Oryctolagus cuniculus: one gene and its partner. The protein of the gene in region 1 interacts with the protein of each later gene in a biochemical or structural test. Links are inferred from orthologs where the notes say so. Each region holds a gene or a part of one and is shown on either strand. Other genes may lie near its edges.

Region 1 (9,720 bases):
CATTTTTATTAGGGACATTTCAAAAGCCTGGCTCCTGTGGGTGCTGAGAATTAGAGGGAGTGGTTTCCCCTGGGTTACTGCACTGACCCAGTGCCTCACCCCTGCCTGTTGACAGTGGTGCTATTGGCACTCACTTGGGAAAGGCCAGAAAGCGGGGATTTACCTGTGCCTGGTAACACCACTGCATGCCACTCCTGGTCTTTTCCTCAGCCCCCTTGAAGGGGCTTTACAGAAGCTGGGGATCGAGCTATCTGAGCTGTTGTGATGGATACACCTCAAGAAATAGGAAAGGGAACCGCTGTCTTGCCTATGGTTCTCACTGGTGCTGAGGTTAAATAGGAACTTGCTCCTCACTGCCTCCCCAGCATCTCGTGGTGGCTGGTGGGTAGCGAAGGTACTTTCTCAGAAAGCTCAGAGATGGGGTAGGGCCAGCATAAAGGGGAAGGAGAGAGGACTCTTAAAGCCCCATAACACCTGTTTAACAGAAGTCAGGACCAAGGTACAAGGCAGCAATCTACACACTTTATTATATTAACAAAAGTAGCAAAACAAGCAAGTGCAGCACAGGAAGAGGGGCTCCTCCCACCCCTCCGGAGCTGGGTTACACCTGCAAAGGCAGCAGGTGAGCGGCGAGCACAGTGGGTCCCCAAGGTCTCAAGCAGGTTGGAATCAGACAAAAGTGATCCGTGTCCGGGAAGCATTGACCTGCCAGACATTCAACTCCTCATACTCGTCCAGAGCTGCTTGGAATTGGGCAGGTGTGAAGCCACGGGATATGCAGCGCTGCTCTGCCTCAGAAAACCGGACGCTCCGGGCCCCCGAGACCAACTCGCGGACAGTGGCAAATATCACATCTGCTGGCCTCTGTGTCCTGAAGGAAACACGAGGGTATGGAATCAGGGCACAAGCCAGGACACTTGACAGTGACAACGGAGAGTGGTCAGCTCATGCATCTGGATGCTGAAGCCTGCAACGGTCAAGGTGACCCAATCTCATCATTAAACCACTCACCTGGCTGTCTGCCCCTTGTCGCCCAGAAGTGAGTCCTTGGACATCTCCATGAGCCTTATGGCTTCATTCACATCTTCCTTCTCCACTGTGTCCACCATTCTCAGACGTGCCTAAGGGGAAAGTAGGGGAGAGAGGGGGACAGGAGGAGAATGGAATAAAGTCAGAGAAACCCCCTTGGTTCCAGCTTTAAGGCTGGACAACCTATGTGCCGTCTGCTCGCAAAAGGAGCAGGGACCCCTCCCCTGCTCCCCCACATCCGCAGTGTAGGGCCGGCACTGTCAGACCGAGACAAGTGCAATGCCCAGGGCAGCGTCCAGCAATTGCCCAAGTCTCCGCCTCTCAACACTGGCCAGTCCCGGTGTTCAGCTGTCCTGTGAGGGAGACCAGACCCTTCCGAACTCCAGTGGGCTCCCCACCACGACAGATGCAGCCTGGGGAGCTCAGCCTAGCAGGCGGTTGGCAGAGAGGCTGTGTCCCAGGGGCTCGGGAAGTGCTAGCTCAGCAGTAGGTCAGGTAATCACACTACCTGCACGAACAGCACTTTGGAGCCCCCGGGACTACGGTCCGAGATGTGAGGACAGAAAGGAAGCTTATAGCACAGGATCAAGGAGGTGGGGAGAGAGAGGGACCCTCCCCCGCTTCAGTGAGGCTGCAGAAGTGGGGAGAGAAGGCCTCTCCTTCCGTGGACGTGCGTGCCCTGCTGGAGCAGCAAGTACCCACAGTGCGGTAGCACGGACAGGACCACTATCTGCACTGTCAGCACTTTAGCCCCAGCAGGGCGGGTGTGGGAGGAGGCGGCAGCGAGAGGACCAAGTGAGGGTTCATTGCCAGTAGGGATGGAAACGGACACCCTCCAGCAGTACGGGGAACCAGGCACTCACCAGAGCAGTGGAAAGTCGGAGAATGGCCAGCAGTGTCCGGGCGGAAGTGTATGTGGCATCCTTACTGGCCCAGGCCTCTCGCCTCATCTCCACGTATGCTGCTGTGATGTAGTCTGCCAGGGACTCTGGCACTGTGGGCTGCTTCTCACGGCACATGGCTATGTAGCGTCTGTGGGAGAAAAGGTTCATGGGAAAGCAGAACATGAAGAGGGGGAATGGGGTACACACATGGGCATGGTGTTTTCTGCCTAATGGTTCCTCCATTTAATGAGAAAACTCTCAGAAGTAAGGACTTTTAAGCAGAAAAACGAGTGGGTGACTCTGTGTTTGACTCCAGTATCGCTGAGGGATTTCCACATCATGTTTCAGATGATTTTCAACTTTTCAGGAAAGTGACCTCTGTGAAATTAAGACAAATCCAACTGTCACAAAAGATCACCCACCCTCTTGTAAACATGATGTGGCTAAAGGGACTAGAAACATACTATTTCAGTAGATAGAGCGCACAGCAAGACCCTGAGCACACACCGGGAACACTGGGGCCATGGAGAAGAGCTGGAGGGCGATCCAGCGCAGCCTGAACGCTGTGCCCACCCCCGCAGGCAGGACCATGGTGGGGGTGGCGAGAAAGGCAGATTCTAAAGACATGCGGTCCTTGGCTAGCCAGGTTCGGGGAACCCAGACTGGGTGTTCTTACGCCTGGCACGTGGCAGAAGCGGGTAGCAGGGAGAGGGTGGGCAGAGTATTAAAAAGCCAACCCACCCGCTCTGTGAAAGCCTTTCAGGAGCCACACAGCCACGACGCTGTCACAGGCTGCACACTTGCCTGAAGTACACCTGTCCCCCCCCCAGCAGCCTCTTACCTCATAAGCTTCATGTCCAAAGGTTCGAATTGGGCGGGGGGCTGCCGGCTGTGCTGGTGCACATAGGTGATGTGCTGGGCCAACCTGGGAAGAGTTAAGAAGGCAGGCTCTTTAGAGCGCCACACCCCACGTCCTGCTTTAAATATTCCTCTTGGCTCTGTGGCTGCCTCACAGATGGAAGAACAAACTCTCCAGGAAGCCCTCAGCAGCACTTGGGCAGGGGCCCTCTAAGAACTGCCTAGCAACCCCTGCTGTGCCGAGCCATTTTCCGGGGTTCCCGCCCTCCCTCCAGAACCCCACTCCCTGGCCATGCTGCTCCACTAACCGGAGGTCGTTGTCTCGGTCGGGCCGGTCCTGGATCAGCCAGAGAAGATCGAATCGGGAGAGCAGCGCAGCGGGGAGCTGGATGTTCTGCTCCAGACTGCGGCGGGGGTTGTAGCGCCCGTAGGCAGGGTTGGCAGCAGCCAGGATGGAGCAGCGGGCGTTGAGTGTGGTGAGGATGCCCGCCTTGGCGATGGAGATGGTCTGCTGCTCCATGACCTCGTGGATGGCCGTGCGGTCGGCCTCCGCCATCTTGTCAAACTCATCGATGCAGCACACGCCCTGGTCGGCCAGCACGAGGGCCCCGCCCTCTAGGGTCAGCTCCCCGCTCACAGAGTCTCGCAGCACGGCTGCCGTGAGCCCCACTCCCGAAGAGCCGCGGCCTGTTGTGTACTGGCCTGGACAAAGAGAAGCAAGCGTGCACGTGAGAACGAGCAGGGAGCATGGGAAAAGGCCAAGCACCCAAGAAACAGGGCAGTGAGACGAGACCTGCACTGGATTCCTCCACTCTCACCTCCCTGGTCTTGCCACCACCTTTCCCAGACCCGCTCCTTCCACCTCCTCCTGCCTCTGGAGTACTGCGGTCCTCTCTGCCTCCCCAGGGCTGGATACTCACTGCGGGGGGCCAGGCGGTCGATGTAAGACAGGAGCTGCGACTTGGCCACCCCGGGGTCCCCCATCAGGCAGATGTTGATGTTGCCTGGAAGGAAAGGCAGCCCGAGTGACTTCTCCCACTGCAGGTTGTCCAGAAACACGCTTGAGGTCCAACCCCCATGACTCCATCCACCCTGCCCTGCCCTGCCCTCCCTCCCTTCCTCACCCCTGATCTTCATTCCTCGAGGAGACTGGTCCACACCTCCCACCAGCAGAAGCAACAGTGCCTTCTTGACATCTTCGTGCCCGTAAATCTCTGGGGCGATAGACGCTGCCAGCTTTTCATAGAAATCCTCCTCTGCGGAACGGGAAGGTCGGGCTCTTTGGTCGGGGAAAGGGGCCAGGACCAGGCAAGCGCCCACCCTTCCTGGCCCCTCACCTGCAATCTGCCTCAGCTCCTCCCTGCTCAGCTCCCCAGCCCCAGCCTCGTCATCCTCACTCTTGTTCATCTTCACGATTCGATGGGCCTCTAGGTACGTCTCCGAGAGTAAACCCTTGGGCAGGAAAAAGCGGGAATGAAATCCCTTTAACTTGGCCATGATCACTCCCCTAATGACTGCTTCACACAACCCTTTGTTCTGTTTGTCTGCTTGTTTGTTTTTCTGTTGTTCCCTCTGAGGTCCAGTCAGGGGAAGGGGGACTATTTCCCCCTCATTTCCAACTCTTTCTTACCTGGACCACCTGATGGAACCCAGTGCGCAGGAGTGGCAGGAAGATGCCCGTGACACTGACGTGGTCTCCAGGCTGGGCAATCCTTGTGTTCTCCCCTTCCACCAGCACTGTGATGCTCCGTGGGATATTTCCCACAGGCACTTGGTCGCTCTGGAGAAGAGAGAGTCTGAAAGCCAGCAGACAGGGACCCAAGCCCACAAGGACCTAGCCTTCCCCCCGGAGGCATCCCACTCTTCAGAATCCCAGTTAAACCTCCCTCACTCCATGTGACCCCGTGCCAGCTCCTCCCTCTCCTGGGCTTTCTGCTCCTTCAGGAATGACTGCAGGACTTGAGTGGACTCCCTGCTCCACCTGCCTGGGCCACGTACCCCAAACTCACATGTTCCTGCATTTTCATTTCCTGGAACTTGATGAACTTGGAGCCGCGTGTCTGCAGATACAGCCGCCCGCCTGAGCGGTTGGTCTGGCATTCCTGGCTCGGGCACATGATCAGAGGCATGAAAGTGGGAGACTGGATCTAGAATGTGATAAGGGAGGCACCAAAAGAAATCAGAAGAAGAAGGATCCTTATGAGCTTCAGTTACCTGAATCACATTTTCTCTTCACAGCAGACAACAGACAAGTATCAAGAATGCCTACAGCTAATCTGGGCTGTAAATGATAAAAACGCCAAGAAAACAAAATAGACTACTATTTACGGGAAAAAAATATAGCTATCTTTGGCGGTAAGCACAGAATGACAGATACACACATCAGCAGGTAAAATTAGTTTTACAGAAAACAACAGTTAAGCACTGCCCTGTTACGTACTGGCTGGTAGGTCTCTGCCCCACACTGGTCACAGGTGTAAGTGGCCACCACCATCCTGGGTTTGACTTCAGAGACACGAGTGACGATTCCGCGCACGGTCACCAATTTACCCACAGAGTCGGCCCGTACTTCCCGGATCACACGAGGTTTGTTGCTGCTCGGGCCTTGAAAATACAACTCACTAAGGGGGGAAGACGGTCATCAGCAAGGCCCAGGAGGACACACGCCTACCGCCCTCTCACAGCGACCACTCACAATCTGCGCATGAGCTCAGGAGGGTACTGGTTCTGGGGGCTTCGGGCAGCTCCAGGGTCCCGGCTCCGCTGCTCCATCATCAGCCGGTGCTCAATGTAAACATCCAGGACATCTTTATTTACTACCTAAAGCAAAAAAAAGAAAAAAAAATGAGAGACAAGGAAAGGCACACAGGAGGCAGATATAAAAGCCAACGCCCCCTCCCCCTTTCCGTCAGCTCAGACACCAGCAGGGCCTGAGAAGCGTCCCAGCACCAGCTCCAGCCACTCACCTCCCGATCCTTGTACTGAGGCAGCAGCTCCTGCACGGCGTCAGCAAAGAGCCGCGCGTAGCGCTTGGCGTTCTCGCAAATGGAGTCCACCAGCTCAGGGTCGTCCTCGGCGACGTCATCCAGGTCCACGTACATTGCCACTTGTTCCCGATGAGCCAGGCGAACCTGGGGAAGGGAGGAGAGAGCAACACCTCAAAGGCAAATTCACCATGGTCACTTGTAAGGGCCCAGTGCCGCGAGCTCAGAGCCCAGGTCTGGGCATCCACAGGAGAGTACATACAACAGAGAAATACCTCCGCTCCCAAGCCCACTCCTAAAAACGCCCTCATTACTCGAGCACAGAATCTTAGCAGGTATCAGGGTCTCCCTTGAACGTGTCAGGAATGCACTTACTGAAAGGAGCCAGGGTGCCTGCTGCGGCCTCTTGAGCGACCACCCCACCCCTTACGTTCTTCAACCCATCTTACACCTACCAACTGGTCCCCATACTTGAACTTCTTCTTCCCCAACTCTTCATCCTGGTAAAACTCCTGCAGAAACTTCTTAACCTTCTCTGCAACGGAAACGAGAAACCCTAAGGGCCAACCCTGCAAACCCTGACGGCAACCCCAGGGAGCCGCGGTCACTTAGAAACTAAATTAGGACTAAATCAGCCAATGGCAGGAGCCTCGGGACAGACCTGCCGGGGTGGACACAACTCCCTTCGCAAGCCTGGCCCCCGGGCAGCCGAGAACTTACTACCCAACCCTCTCCCCCGGGGGAATCTCCGTCTCCGCGCTCCCCAGCCGCTTCCCTCACCCCGCAGCACCCGCGGCCGATCCCGCTCTCCCCGCGGGTCCCCGGCCCTGCGTCCCCGCGGGGCTCCCCGCCACCGCTTCCGCTCTTAGTAAACAAAGAAGCACATGGGCCCCGATTCCAGCCGCCTCACCGCTCGGGGATTCCTCCGCCCGCGGCGGGAGCCCGTCCGGCGACCGGCCAGCACCCCGGGGGCCGCTCGGCCTCGCCCGACGGCCGCCTCTCCCGGCCTCGCGCCGGCCGCTCGGGGTCCGGGCACGCCCCCCCCGCCCCCCGCCTCGGCCGCGCTCGCCGAGGCCACCGCGCGGAAGGACACTGTTTACACACGACACTCCCTCCGCCCGCGGGCCGCCACTTCCGCCGCCTCCACTTCCGCCGGGAGGGCGGCCCGAAACAGCCAATCGCAGCGCGCAGCGGCCCCGGCCGGCCCGCCCCCCCCCGACTTCGGCGCCAGGGCTCCGGAGGGCGCGGGAAACCAGGGGGTGCCCCCGGGCGAGTCGCCATCGTGCAGGCTAAAGCCCCTAGACAGGGTCCCCCAAGACCCGGTCTCTCGCGGACGCGACCCACCCCCCCTGGGGCGCGCCACCGCAGTTACTCCCCCTCCCACGAACCCCAACACCCTAGTCGGGCAATGGCCAGCGTTTCTGCAACCCCGATGCTCCCATGCGCCTCCCAGGCACCGTCCACCTCAGCCTGGCCGCGGCCCTCGCGGATCGCCCCCGACCCGGCTCCCGAGACCACCACCCCCCGGCTTCCACCAACAGGTGTTAGCCGGAAGGCATCCAATGCAGGGCGCGCCCCTCCCACACCCGCAGGCCCTTGCCTTTCTCGAGCGCGTAGTCCTTAAGCGCCATCGCTGCCGAGGGCCAGGCGGCAGCAGTTGGCGGGCTCGATAGTCTTGCTCACGGGAAGCACAGACCGTCCGCGCGGCGGGCTGTGGCGGACCAACCGAAATTGGCGCGAAACGTCGCCCCCCACGTGACCCGCGCCGCGGCGTGCGGGCCAATCGGAGAGGCCGGCTCTCCGCCCCTCCCTCTCATTGGGAGGTTCCAGCTTTGCCCAATGATGGGGCGAGCCTGGGTTGAGCGACGGGGAGGCGGTGGAGGGGCCGGGAGGTAACCGCCTGCCGAGGAGGGGCGGCGCCGGGTTTCCCGCGGTCCCGGTTCGGCCTAAGCGGCGGGGAAGCGCTCTTAAAGGGCCAGCCCTCTCGCGTCCTTCTGTTCCGGGACCGCAGGGCGGGACAGACCCAACTTTCGCCGTGTTCTGATCTGCCCTCCCGAACGGCCATGATTTCCCAGTTCTTCATTCTGTCCTCCAAGGGGGACCCGCTCATCTACAAGGACTGTATCCTTGACCACCCGCGGGCGGGGTCGGGTGGGAGTCGTGCCCAGGGTCAGCCTGTGTCGCTGGCTCCTTAACTGTCCTCTCCCACCGGCCAGTCCGTGGAGACAGCGGCGGCCGGGATGTGGCCGAGCTCTTCTACCGGAAGCTGACGGGCTTGCCGGGAGACGAGTCCCCGGTTGTCATGGTAACCGCTCGCGGCGGGCGGGGGCTGGGAGCCGGCGGACCCGGCGGGTGCCCCCGCTTTGGGGGGCGTGGGGAGGGTCCGGGGTCGCCGGGTGTGGGCCTCGGGAGCCCTCGGTCACCACAGCCCAGCGCCTCTCGCCCCGCCTCTGCCTCAGCACCACGATGGCCGGCATTTCATCCACATCAGACACAGCGGCCTCTACTTGGTGGCCACGACTTGGGCAAATATTTCTCCCTTCAGCCTCCTCGAGCTGCTGTCCCGGTGAGGAGGGCCGGGCCGGGCAGGGCAGGGCCGGTCTGGGCAGGGCAGGGCTGGGCCGGGCAGGGCAGGGCAGGGCAGGGCAGGGCTGGGCTGGGCTGGGCTGGGCTGGGCTGGGCTGGCCTGGGCAGGGCAGGGCAGGGCAGGGCAGGGCTGGACTGGGCTGGGGCGCACTTGCCTGCCTCCCTCCTCAGGGTAGCCACTCTCCTGGGCGACTACTGCGGCTCCCTCTGCGAGGCGACCATCTCCCGTAACGTGGCCCTGGTCTATGAGCTCCTGGATGAGGTGCTGGTAAGACCCAGGGACTTCTCAAAACTTCGCGAACAAATGCCGTTAAAGGATGCGCGTAGTGCCAAAGGTTGTGAAACCCACGCATCGTCCCACCCCACCCCACCCCACCCCGCAATATTGATTTCCTATAAATCTGAAGACTCCCCATACATCCAGTCTTCTACCACGGGACGCCGTGGTCAGGAGGCCTCCTTTTCCATCCCTCTCCCGGCTCCGCAGGCGGCCCAAACACCCGCCTTTCTTCTCCACCGCTAGGACTATGGCTATGTTCAGACCACGTCCACAGAGATGCTGAGGAACTTCATCCAGACAGAGGCTGTGGTCAGCAAGCCCTTCAGCCTCTTCGACCTCAGCAGTGTTGGCTTGGTAGGTCGGGGAAGACGAGGACCGAGGGTGGGTGGAGGACAGGCCGGGAGTGTCCAGTGTTCCCTGGGCTGATTGCTCTGGGTGCTTCACAGTTCGGTGCGGAGACCCAACAGAGCAAAGTGGCTCCCAGCAGTGCCGCCAGCCGCCCTGTCCTGTCCAGCCGCTCCGACCAGGTGAAGCAAAGATCCATGGGGTCGAACCAATTTTCTCCCAGGACCCAGAGCCCCAGAATCCAGTCCCAGAGACCCAAAGCCCCAACGTGGCTTTCCACCCCTGACCGTGTGTCCCCACCTTTGACTGCCCTGTGCCTTCTGCCCAAGCGTTCCAGGGCATGGGCTGGTCAGCCACCAGCCTCCCACATTCTCTTCCTCAGAGCCAGAAGAATGAAGTTTTCCTGGACGTGGTTGAGAGATTATCTGTACTGATAGCATCTAATGTGAGTCTGGGTGCTCTAAGCCCAGAGCTGCGGGCAGACGGAGCCCGGGCAATGGGCTGGGGGGTCGGGACGCAGGGCAGTAACCTCCCTGCCACTCTCAGGGCTCCCTGTTGAAGGTGGATGTGCAGGGAGAGATCCGGCTCAAGAGCTTCCTGCCCAGTGGCTCGGGTGAGAATCCGGGTTGGGGTGGGGACGGGCCCCTTGGCGCCTGTGGAGACATCTGCTGACCTTTCCTGCATTCCTCCCTGGGACAGAGATGCGCATCGGCTTGACCGAGGAGTTCTGTGTGGGGAAGTCAGAATTGAGAGG
Region 2 (10,963 bases), on another chromosome or scaffold:
ATTTGGATTATATTAAAGGTAGTGTCAAGATGTGAATGGTGCTAAATTTTAGGTTATGATAATGTAAAACGCTACTGATACAAATGTCCAAGTTACCAAAATCTAAAGATGTTGTGTTGTTATCAGAATGACAGTTACCTTAATGAGAAAGGCCCAGAGGCCTAAAGGGGTTAAATGTTTTATAAAATCCTACAGGTGGCCGGTGCCGCAGCTTAATAAGCTAATCCTCCGCCTGTGGCGCCAGCACACCGGGTTCTAGTCCTGGTCGGGGCACCGGATTCTGTCTCAGTTGCTCCTCTTCCAGTCCAGCCCTCTGCTATGGCCCGGGAGTGCAGTGGAGGATGGCCCAAGACCTTGGGCCCTGCATCCGCAAGGGAGCCCAGGAGAAGCACCTGGCTCCTGGCTTTGGATCAGTGTGATGCACCGGCCGCAGCGCGCCGGCTGCAGCAGCCATTGGAGGGTGAACCAATGGCAAAACAAAGACCTTTCTCTCTGTCTCTCACTGTTCACTCTGCCTATCAAAAAATAAAATAAAATAAAATAAAATAAAATAAAATAAAATAAAATCCTGCAGGTGCTTTCAAAAATACTATATGCAGTAATCAAGAGCCTCCTGTTAGTTAATGAGTTTATAATTTTAAACACTGTTATTTAAAGTCTTTTGTCATCCACAGCTCTGTATTCTCTAAACACTAAAAAATTAGATTTCTATTAATGAGGTTAAAACATTGTTGGTTCTATGTCGAATGTGTCCTCTCTTAGGTTCCAAAGGAGTTCTTTTTCTCTGACCTCTGTTGTATTCAATACTTTGGGACAGTTCTCTAAGCACATAATGCCAATAATGGATTACAGGTTCCAACAGAGATAAAGTATGGTTAATTTAGGTTACTAAGAACAGGAAGTAATTGTAACTGATTGATGGTAATTAAAAAAAAAAGCTAAAGATTTTAAAAAACTTATTGAAACTGCTTTACTCTTCTATCTTTTATGTTATACATGTGTACATATTATATGTCCACATGGGAAAATTCATTAAGAGCTCTGTTTTAATAGGATTATAGATTGCTCGTAAATTTGAGCTGCTAAGTTAATCAAAGATTAATGTTTTTGGTTCACATGATCTAAATAAATCTCTGTATCAGATGTTTTAAATTTGTTGGCAGAAAGAAACTAAAAGTGTTTGTACTTGGGTTTGCTGGTCAAACAAGTTAACACTTGTGTTAGATATTTAAGCGATGTTTCCAAATACATGTTCTCTTGTCTTGAAATTTATAGAGGGCACTGGACCTTTGGTAAATGTTTTCATAAATTGTTATTTAACAGTTAAAATTGCTTGCTAAGTTTTCATTTGATATTAAGTTATTGACAATAAGTGATCTGAGAAGGCTGACTTGTTCCCTCATTTCTCTATTCTCTTCAAGATGGGAAACTGACTCTATACTGAAAGACTCTCCAGGATGTACAGTTTGATCTTTAGACTTTATAAAAGGGATGGCTAACAGTTTTCTGTAATAGCAAAGCCAAAATAAGAGCTTCAATTATGATTTCACAGCTAGATTTACTTTGCCATGGGCACAGTAAAAAATCTCCCTTTCAGACCAAATGAAGGGAGAGAAAGTTTCACTAATGACTTCAAATTTTATGAGGGGGTCATCATGTTTGATGTCAAAGTGAGGACATAGCGTTCTTCATGGGCATTGATACCTCACAGAAAAATCACTATCAGAACATACCTATGACTATAGATTTCTAGCTTAGGCCACCAAAGATTAGGAATAGGATTGAGCACCCCCTTGACTTGCATCCTCTTAAAGACTGCCTCCATGGTCTCCTTTACCAGAAACCAGGAGAAAAAAGGAGCAAGCTGGGCAGTGGTAGCCATGGAAAGATAGGTGACAGGCCAATTAATGGCTGCTTTACACAGTGATCTGCCATCAAGGAGTCCCAACAGGCCACAGCACCGCAAATGGCATTGGTTTTCAATGTGGAAAGCCAGGGCTTCAGATGGATACAGAAGTCAGCCTTCAGAGAGTCCTGGCACCTCTGCCAGCCAAGAGTTGGGTCGCTGGAAATGGAACTGACCTGGAGTCCAAGCTCCTTCTGAGCTCCCGGTTTACTGTAAAGCAAATTAGGTATCCCACCTCTCTGATGGCTCTTTGTTTTATATAAATTGAATAGCAAATATATCAGGAGTTTCATGCTTTGTAGGTTGAAAGGTGAGAAGCATAAAAGGAGAGATACAAGAAGTTTGGATAAAAGGAATTACAAAAATTAGATGTAGTTAGGTAGGGATTGAAATTAAGGGAGGTTTTTTTCTATTTGTTTTACAGAATGGAAATGCTTGGATTTGTATAGCGGGTTCAAAGAAGAAACCAGGAGAAAAAGCAGAAATTGAAGATATGGTAACATCAGGTCTAATGCAGCACATTGCCCAGTGTGGGTAACAAACATTTCACAGTTAGGACAGCAAGTCTTATCTTATGGGTGGTGGGGGTAGGGGTGGTGGTGAAGTGTATATACGTATGCATGTGCATGTGTGTGTGCAGCAAGGCTACGTTACATTAACAAACAGAGCAGTTGAAAGGAAATACACTTCCGATATATATTCCAAAAAACAGCACATTACTTGAATTAGTAGTATCTTCTAATGCAATAAGGTAATTTCAGTGTTTTCCTATAAACAGAAGTATCTGTTAAAAACTGCAGTAACCAAAAATGAAAAAGACAAAAAGAAGCCCATGCTATTATCCCAAAACAACTTTCACCTCTTGAGTATAATCCTCAAGATAAATGACATGCAACTGTTTTTTGAACAATAGAAACATTAAAACACAAAATCATACCTAGTATATCCTGGCAATAATACTTTGTATGGCAAGAAAAATTTATAGATACATACATAAAAAAATCAAACTTGATTACTTTTAAAATTAAAGAAGACAACATACCACATCTTTTACAGAAACACTTGATTTCTTGAATAAATACAACTCCTTTTTCTTTTGGTCAATGTAGTATCTAATGTCTTTATTAAAAAAAAAAAAAAAGAGAAAGATTTGAGATTAGCAACTTTAGCCTTGGAGTTAAAACACTGTTTTGTTTTTTCATAATTGTAATAGATTGAGATGAATGAATTGCCATTACAAATATCTCTTGCTATCAAAGTTTTGACTATGTAATGTCAGGAACTGAGGGGTAGAATGAGTTAACAAATACTGTCCAAAGACAATTATAAAATCCTTACCATCAATATGAAGAATCTTTACTCCCCATGATAAGGCATTTGATAATATACTATTTGAAGGAATAAAATCCTGTAAAAAAAATTTGATAATTTTTCTAAGAAATTATTATTTTAAAGAGAGCTAAACTGTTAAAAAAATCAGTTATTTGAAGCATACTATCTCTGAGATGGTAATTCATAACAGACCAACTTCACAAAAGTAAAGAGGATATTAAGTTCTTACTTTTGACACTTCTAAAATCAATCCCACTAAAAATACATTCTCACATTTTTAACAATTTAATGCATATTTGTAAGACAAATTTCAAGTTTCCAGTAATATTTTAAAAGGCCACAAGATGGGGATGTTTCTTCATGAAAAGGACATTGTAAAATGAGATACAGGTTGAAATGCATGTTTCTTCTATTAAAAATGAGGAAAAGAATGCTTCAAGAATATACACTATGAGTTTTAATAACAAAATGTACAGTGTGAACTTTTAAAGTTCTTACTTACATGGTCCTTGATAGCTTTTTCAACCAATAATTTTCCTCTGCTTAAACACACCTATAAAAGGACCAGAAAAATGAAGTTATAACCTAATGTTTCAGTGTAGAAGAAAGGTTACAAAGGTAAAATAGCTAAAGTAATGTTTTATTTGTAAAAGTCTTAATAGCTATCAATACAATACATATACAGTGAAAAGTGATTTCTTCATGGCCTTGGCAAGATCTCAGATTTAAAAAGTTTTTTTGGATTGAGCAATTCAACTGAAAGAGACCTAACAGATCAGTTTTGAAAAATAGCCAGGCCACACCAGAATTTTACATAATTAGTTGATTTATATTTTAGTTTACTATTTAATTGAAGATTTAAGAAAAATAATTTTATATATTGTTTTTACATGTTATTTCATTTTTTAAATAAAATACTAGGAAAAGCAGTTGAAATGCAATGAACATCAATTTGGAATAAACCACTTGTGTACTGTCTCCTTGCTCCAAAAATTCATGCATGAGTCTTCCTTGGTTTCTTCTTTTGATTTTTTTTTCCTTCTGTGAATCATGTTTTATAATTTCTTCTGTAGGTCATTTTTCCTGCCTGTTTTCTTCTCCTTTTCTCTGCTTTTCAAATTGGTACAGTAGATGAGGGTTTATTTTCCTACTTTAGATTTATTTGAAAGGCAGAGTTAGAGAGAGCGAGAGAGAGAGAGAGAGATCGAGAGAGATCTTCCATTTATTGATTCATTCCCCAAATGGCAGCAATGGCCGGAGTAGAGCTAGTTCAAAGCCAGGAGCCAGGAGCTTCTTCTGGATTTCCCACATAGGTGCAGGGGCCCAAAGACCTGGGCCATTCTCCACTGCCTTCCCAGGCGAATTAGCAGGAAGCTGGAACAGAAGTGGAGCAGCTGGGAGTTGAACCAGGGCCCATATGGGATGCCGGCACTGCAGACAGTGGCTTTACCTACTAGACCACAGGGTTTTTAAGGTTTATTTGAAATGCAGAATTAGAGAGAGAGGGAGAGACATACAAAGAGTGAGCTTTTTCCATCCACTGGTTCACCCCCTAAACAGTCGCAAGGGCCAGGGCTGAGCCAGGCCAAAGCTGGGAGCCTTGAACTCCTGGGTTTCCTATGGGGCTTGCAGGGGCCCAAACACTCAGGCTATATTCCACTGCTTTCTCAGGTGCTTTAGCAGAGAGCTGGATCAGAAGATACAGGGAAGGACAGAATAAGGTGATTTAATAGAGTGTGGGGAAGGGAAAAGGTCGAGATATAAAATGTTAGGTTTATCTCATATTCCACTGCTTTCCCAGGCACACTAGCAGAGAGCTGGATCAAAAGCAGAGCAGCCAGGACTTGAACCAGATTTCACATGGGATGGTAGCATAACAGGTAGTGGTTTAACCTGCTGCACCACAATGTTACCCCAATTGAGGATTTTTTAAAATGAGAATTTAAATATGTTTCAATATAAAAAAAAATGAGATAAACCTAACATTTTATCTCTCAACCTGTTCCCCTTCCCACACTTTATTAAACCATCGTATTCTATCCACCCCTGTATCTTCTTGGCAGTGGAATAGCTGGGATGTCATGTTAGAAACTCTAAAACAGGCTGGTACCCTTTTTATGCAAAGGGTCAGATAATACAGATTTTATGTCTTACAGATGATATAGTTTCTAACAATTATTCTATTCTTTCTAAAGCATGAAAACCACAACAAATAATATATAATAATTCTTTAAAAGAACGATGCGCTATTAAACTTTTAGTTGTAGATTACTCTAAAAAATATAATTCATCCTTAAATGCAAGGTATATGTTAAGAATCAGGGTACAGGGCTGGTGCCATGGCTCACTTGGTTAATCCTCTGCCCACGCGCCGGCATCCCATATGGGCACTGGGTTCTAGTCCCGGCTGCTCCTCTTCCAGTCCAGCTCTCTGCTTTGGCCTGGGAGGGCAGTGGAGGATGGCTCAGGTGTTTGGATCCCTGCACCCGCGTGGGAGACCAGGGAGAAGCACCTGGCTCTGGATTGGTGCAGCGCTGGCTGTAGCGGCCATTTGGGGAGTGAACCAACGGAAGGAAGACCTTTCTCTGTCTCTCACTGTCTATAACTCTACCTGTCAAAAAAAAAAAAAAAAAAAAAATCAGGGTACAAATACACAAGCACTATTTTTTTTTTTTTTAAATCACCTTTCCCAAAGACAATCAGAAAGTCTTGTGGCTTTATAACTGCTCTATCTATATAAACTCTGTTGCCAGTCTGGTATTGATAGGTGACAGCCTTTCAAAGCATATTTGAGACTTACTGTGTCTGGAGACTTAAATGAACTTCCATCATGGCTGGGATGAGGAGAAGTGGTTTCTGCAGTATATGCAGATTCTGGACTTGGTACAGGAGATATTCGGCCCAAAGTTTGAGCAAATTTAGCTTCCTTTTTATTTGAAATAAGATAACTGATATCTTTGCTAAGAAATTCTTCAACTCGCTAGAGGAAAACAAAACATTTGCATGTCATAAAAACCAATTGTTTCATACACTAGGCACATAGTAAAACCCCAATTTGATGCAATTTACTGTCTTAAAAATTAATGTTTTTAATGCTGAACCTGGAATTCTAAGGAAATGTAATCAGACTTTCAATAACACAACAGTATGTGTTGTAATCCATGTAACAACCCCATAGTATTAATATTATCCATCTTTTTGAGAAGACAACAAAAAAGAAATGGCTTACTTGAGATTATACCAATAGTGAAAGCCCATGATCTAAAGCAGCAGAGTCTGGCCGGTGCCACAGCTCAATAGGCTAATCCTCCGCACACCGAGTTCTAGTCCCGGTCGGGGTGCCGGATTCTGTCCCGGTTGCCCCTCTTCCAGGCCAGCTCTCAGCTGTGGCCCTGGAGTGCAGTGGAGGATGGCCCAAGTCTTTGGGCCCTGCACCTGCATGGGAGACCAGGAGAAGCACCTGGTTCCTGCCTTCGGATCGGCGCAGTGTGCCGGCTGCAGTGGCCACTGGAAGGTGAACCAACGGCAAAAAGAAGACCTTTCTTTCTGTTTCTCTCACTGTCCACTCTGCCTGTCAAAAAAAAAAAAAAAAAGGGCAGCAGAGTCCAGTAAAATTTCCTCAATGACGAAAAGAGTTTTCTGCACTAGCCAATACAGCAGCCACTTGCCACATATGGTGACTAAGCACTTGAAAAGTTTTCAGTATGACTGGGCCATTGGATTTTAAATTTTATTTGAAGCTAAATCATTAAGTTGTAACACTTTCCCCCAAGGCTTAAACTTACAAGAAAGAGAAAATCTTTACCTTAAGAGTGTAAGATTGTTAAACGAGAATCTGCCTACTAAAATGTTTGAAAATCACTGCTTAAATGCCTGAATATTATAAGCACATAAACCAAAGTCAATGTTACTGAAGATCACTCACATCCTGGGGCAGGAAAATTAAGCAGAAGTAAACACTAAATAGAAAAATACTAGTATTACTAAAATATATACATTGCACAAATAAATATTAAATGAACAGTAAGTACACTAAGTAGAAATAAATTATTAATCCCTATTTGTATGGAAAAAAAGACTTCTGAATTGGATAATTTTATCTAAGTATGCAGAATTTGCTACTGAGACCCAGAAAGCCTTCTTTGGTAACATGTAAATCAATTTTTTTTGAGTATTTCTGTTGGCTAATAAATAAAGTACCCACATTTATTTATTTCAGGGATTAAATATTCAGTTGCCTGCCACAGCCAGAAAGGAACTTAAAGGAACAATTTACACATTAAACACTGTCTTCATTTTCATAAAAGATACCCTAGCAAAGACGGAGGTTCTAATTTTAAGAGAAGCCTCTCCTACATATTTTGTGATAAAATAGACCTGAAAACTTTTACCATTTCAACCATTTAAAAATGTTTATTTTTATTTATTTGAAAGGTAGCGAGACAGAGAGAGCTCTTCCATCACTGGTTTACTACTCAAATGCCCACAATAGCCAGGGCTGGGCAAGGCCAAAATCAGGAGCCAGAAACTCCAGCTGTCTCCCCCGTGGGTAGTAGGAAGTCAAGTCCTTGAGTCATCACCTGCAGTCTTCCAGCACACATTACCAGGAAGCTGCATTAGAAGCAGAGCAGTCAGGACTCCAACTGGAGCTCTGATATGGAAAGAAGGTATCCCAAGAAGCAGCTTATTACCCCACTGTGCCACACTGCCTGCCCCATTTTAACCATTCTCAAGCATAGAAGTCAGTGACAATACTTTCATAATGTTATGCAACTATCACTGCTATCAAGATTTCTAGAACGTTTTTCATAATCCCAAAGTGAAAAATCTGTACCCAGTTAAACAAGTACACATTCTCCTCACCCCCACTCCCACCCCTACCCCCAGCTCATGGTAGCCTCTATTCTATCTTCTGCCTGTATGAATGTGGCTCTTCTAGGTATCTCATTGCCATCAAGGTCCTCAACAAAACCCACATTGGAATTTAATACTCATTGTGTGGTCTTAAGAAGGTGAAAACTTAATCTACAGCATTTGGAAGTGGGACCTTTGGTAGGTAATTAAAGGTTAAATGAGGCCAAAAGGGCGGCACTCTAATCCAATGGGACTAGGACTTTAAAAGAAACAGAAAAGTTTCACTATGTAATGTTCTCCCTGTCATGGGACTTTGCAGAAGGTTTCCACCACTGAGGACCTTACCAGATATGGCCACCTGACTTAGAACTTTGAGCCAAATAAAACTTTATCCTCAGTCTGTTACACAGAAAATGGACTAACACAATCATATTAAGTGGAGTCTTGTATTCATCCTTTTATGACTGGCTTCTTTCACTTAATACAACATTTTTTAGGTTCATTCATGTTGTAGCAAGTTTCAGTTTCATTCCTTTGAAACCTGAGTTAACGCTCCATTGCAAGTATATACAATGTTCTGTTTATCAATTCACCTGTTGGATGTTATGGCTGAAGAACAGTATCTGTGAATAATACTGCTGCCATGAACATGGATATAATAAATCTCTCTTCCAGAACTTATTTTGGACACATATACTCATAAGTAAAACTGCAGGATCATACATAGTATAAAATATTTTTTCAGAAACTACCCATGGTGTTTCACATAGTGGCTGCATCATTTAACATTCCCACTAAGAGTGGACAAAGGTTTCATTTCTCCACACTTGTCATCTTCTGATTTTTTTTTAAATATTTATCTGAAAGGCAGAGATAGAGAGAAGGAGAAAGAGAGAGAGAGATCTTCCATCCATTGGCTCACTCCCCAAATGACCACAACAGCCCAGGCTCAGCCAGCCCAAAACCAGGAGCCAAGAACTTCCTCTGGGTCTCCCACTTGGGTGCAAGTGCCCAAGCACCTGGGCCCATCTTCTGCTATCTTCTTTGGACATGAACAAGGAGATGGATTAGAAGTGGAGCGGCCAGGACTTGAACCAGCGCCCATAGGGTATGCCAGCACACGACAGTGCCAGCTCCCTGATTCATTGACAGTAGCCATCCTAATGAGCATGAAGTGGCAACTCACTGTGATTTTTATTTGCATTTCTCTGATGCCTAGAAATGTTGAGCATCATTTCATGTACTTAACAGCCATGAGGTATCTTCTTGGAGTAAATGTCTTTACAAGTCCGTTGCCTAATTTTTAATTGAGTTATTTTTTACTATTGAGTTGGAAAAGCTCTTTGTATAGTCAGGATGTCAATCTCTTATATATATATATGATTTGCAAATAGTTCCTATCAGTCTGTGGGTTGTCATAACTTCTTTTTTTTTTATTTGACAGGTAGATTTATAGACAGTGAAAGAGAGAGAGAGAGACAGAGAGAAAGGTCTTCCTTCCATTGGTTCACTCCCCAAATGGCCGCTACGGCTGACTCTGTGCCAATCTGAAGCCAGGAGCCAGGTGCTTCTCCCTGGTCTCCCATGTGGGTGCAGGGGCCCAAGCATCTGGGCCATCCTCCACTGCCCTCCCAGGCCACAGCAGAGAGCTGGACTGGAAGAGGAGCAACCAGGACTAGAACCCAGCGCCCATATGGGATGCCGGTGCCACTTGTCATAACTCTTTGATAATGTTCTTGAGGCACCAAACTTCCTAAATTTGATAAAGCCCAATTTTCCCATTTTTTCATTAGTTGCCTATAATTTAGCTATCATATCCAAGAAATCATTGCCAAATAGTATCACACAGTTCCTTTGGATTTCTGCAAACTTAAACTCCTTAGAACTGAGTAAAATGCTTTTTACAACTCTAATACAATTTTGTTTTTTGCCATTCACCCCATCTAAATTCCAAGCTCAAGTCACAATGCAACATTAATAGTTAGGAAAAAAAACCACTTTGACATCTATTTTAAATATGCCCTTTCCTCTATTAAAATGTCCACTCTGCTTGGTGCATTCCCATTAAGTCTTAAAGACTCAGCTCAAATTTTATCTCTATGGCAGTGTTATAATTTTCCTCTTTTAATAGCAATTTCTATATATTTTTGCTAACATACTAACAATGCTCTATTGTAAAGTATGTATTAAATTGTTTGACATTCCTCCTAGGCTGAGATTCCATGAGCAGACTATATCTTACTGTTACATTCCCAGCATCTAAAATAGTGCTGGCATACTGGAGCCACTGATAGAATAATTTTTGAATGAAATCTCCCATGTCCATATTTTTGTTAACTTTACTTATTTGAACTTATTTGAGAGATAGATACACACACAAAGTGAACTCCCATCCACTGGCTAACTTCACACAAAGTGACTCCCATCCACTGCCCAGGAACCTGGAAGTCAATCCAAGTCTCCCACTTGGGTAGTAGGGATCCAACTATTTAAGCCATCTTCTGAGGCATCCCAGGGTACACACCAGCAGGAAACTGGAATAAGGAGCAGAAACAGGATTGTGACCTAGGTACTTCAATATGGGACATGCCATTTTATTTTATTTTATTTATTTGAAAGAGAGTTATAGAGAGAGAGAGGGAGACACAGAGATAGGTTTCCACCCACTAGTTCACTTCCCAAATGGCAGTAAAGGCTGGGGCTGGGCCAGGCCAGGCCAAAGTTAGGAGCCAGGAGCTTCTTCCAGGTCTCCCACTTGGGTGGCAGGGGTCCAAGGACTGCTGATTCTTCTGGCTCAACAGTAGAGAGCTGGATTGAAAGTGAAGCAGCCAGGATTCATAACCAGAGAGCATATGGGATGCCAGTGCTGTA

Evidence for each region.
Region 2: of the proteins of MCM7 (region 1) and DBF4, one has a biochemical effect on the other in vitro, tested with the Homo sapiens proteins (2 studies listed by BioGRID). The link is inferred for Oryctolagus cuniculus from reciprocal best matches to the Homo sapiens genes MCM7 and DBF4.

The regions. Positions count from the first base shown.
Region 1 is NC_091450.1:42,362,448-42,372,167, forward strand, and holds MCM7 (DNA replication licensing factor MCM7), read right to left. Parts: upstream 7,515-9,720; 5' UTR 7,387-7,514; coding exon 7,356-7,386; intron 6,800-7,355; exon of another isoform or gene 6,666-6,799; intron 6,662-6,665; exon of another isoform or gene 6,536-6,661; intron 6,291-6,535; coding exon 6,211-6,290; intron 5,903-6,210; coding exon 5,738-5,902; intron 5,592-5,737; coding exon 5,467-5,591; intron 5,393-5,466; coding exon 5,212-5,392; intron 4,919-5,211; coding exon 4,781-4,918; intron 4,552-4,780; coding exon 4,402-4,551; intron 4,224-4,401; coding exon 4,109-4,223; intron 4,028-4,108; coding exon 3,896-4,027; intron 3,776-3,895; coding exon 3,692-3,775; intron 3,474-3,691; coding exon 3,080-3,473; intron 2,839-3,079; coding exon 2,755-2,838; intron 2,062-2,754; coding exon 1,893-2,061; intron 1,779-1,892; exon of another isoform or gene 1,718-1,778; intron 1,557-1,717; exon of another isoform or gene 1,495-1,556; intron 1,350-1,494; exon of another isoform or gene 1,290-1,349; intron 1,122-1,289; coding exon 1,012-1,121; intron 872-1,011; and 3 more. Other genes in the region: AP4M1 (AP-4 complex subunit mu-1), read left to right, coding at 7,819-7,876, 7,972-8,060, 8,215-8,321, 8,513-8,609, 8,865-8,975, 9,068-9,148, 9,349-9,411, 9,513-9,579 and 1 more. UniProt on the Homo sapiens protein: Acts as a component of the MCM2-7 complex (MCM complex) which is the replicative helicase essential for 'once per cell cycle' DNA replication initiation and elongation in eukaryotic cells.
Region 2 is NC_091447.1:47,462,472-47,473,434, forward strand, and holds part of DBF4 (protein DBF4 homolog A), read right to left. Parts: intron 6,219-10,963; coding exon 6,039-6,218; intron 3,792-6,038; coding exon 3,741-3,791; intron 3,315-3,740; coding exon 3,245-3,314; intron 3,026-3,244; coding exon 2,949-3,025; intron 1-2,948. UniProt on the Homo sapiens protein: Regulatory subunit for CDC7 which activates its kinase activity thereby playing a central role in DNA replication and cell proliferation. Required for progression of S phase.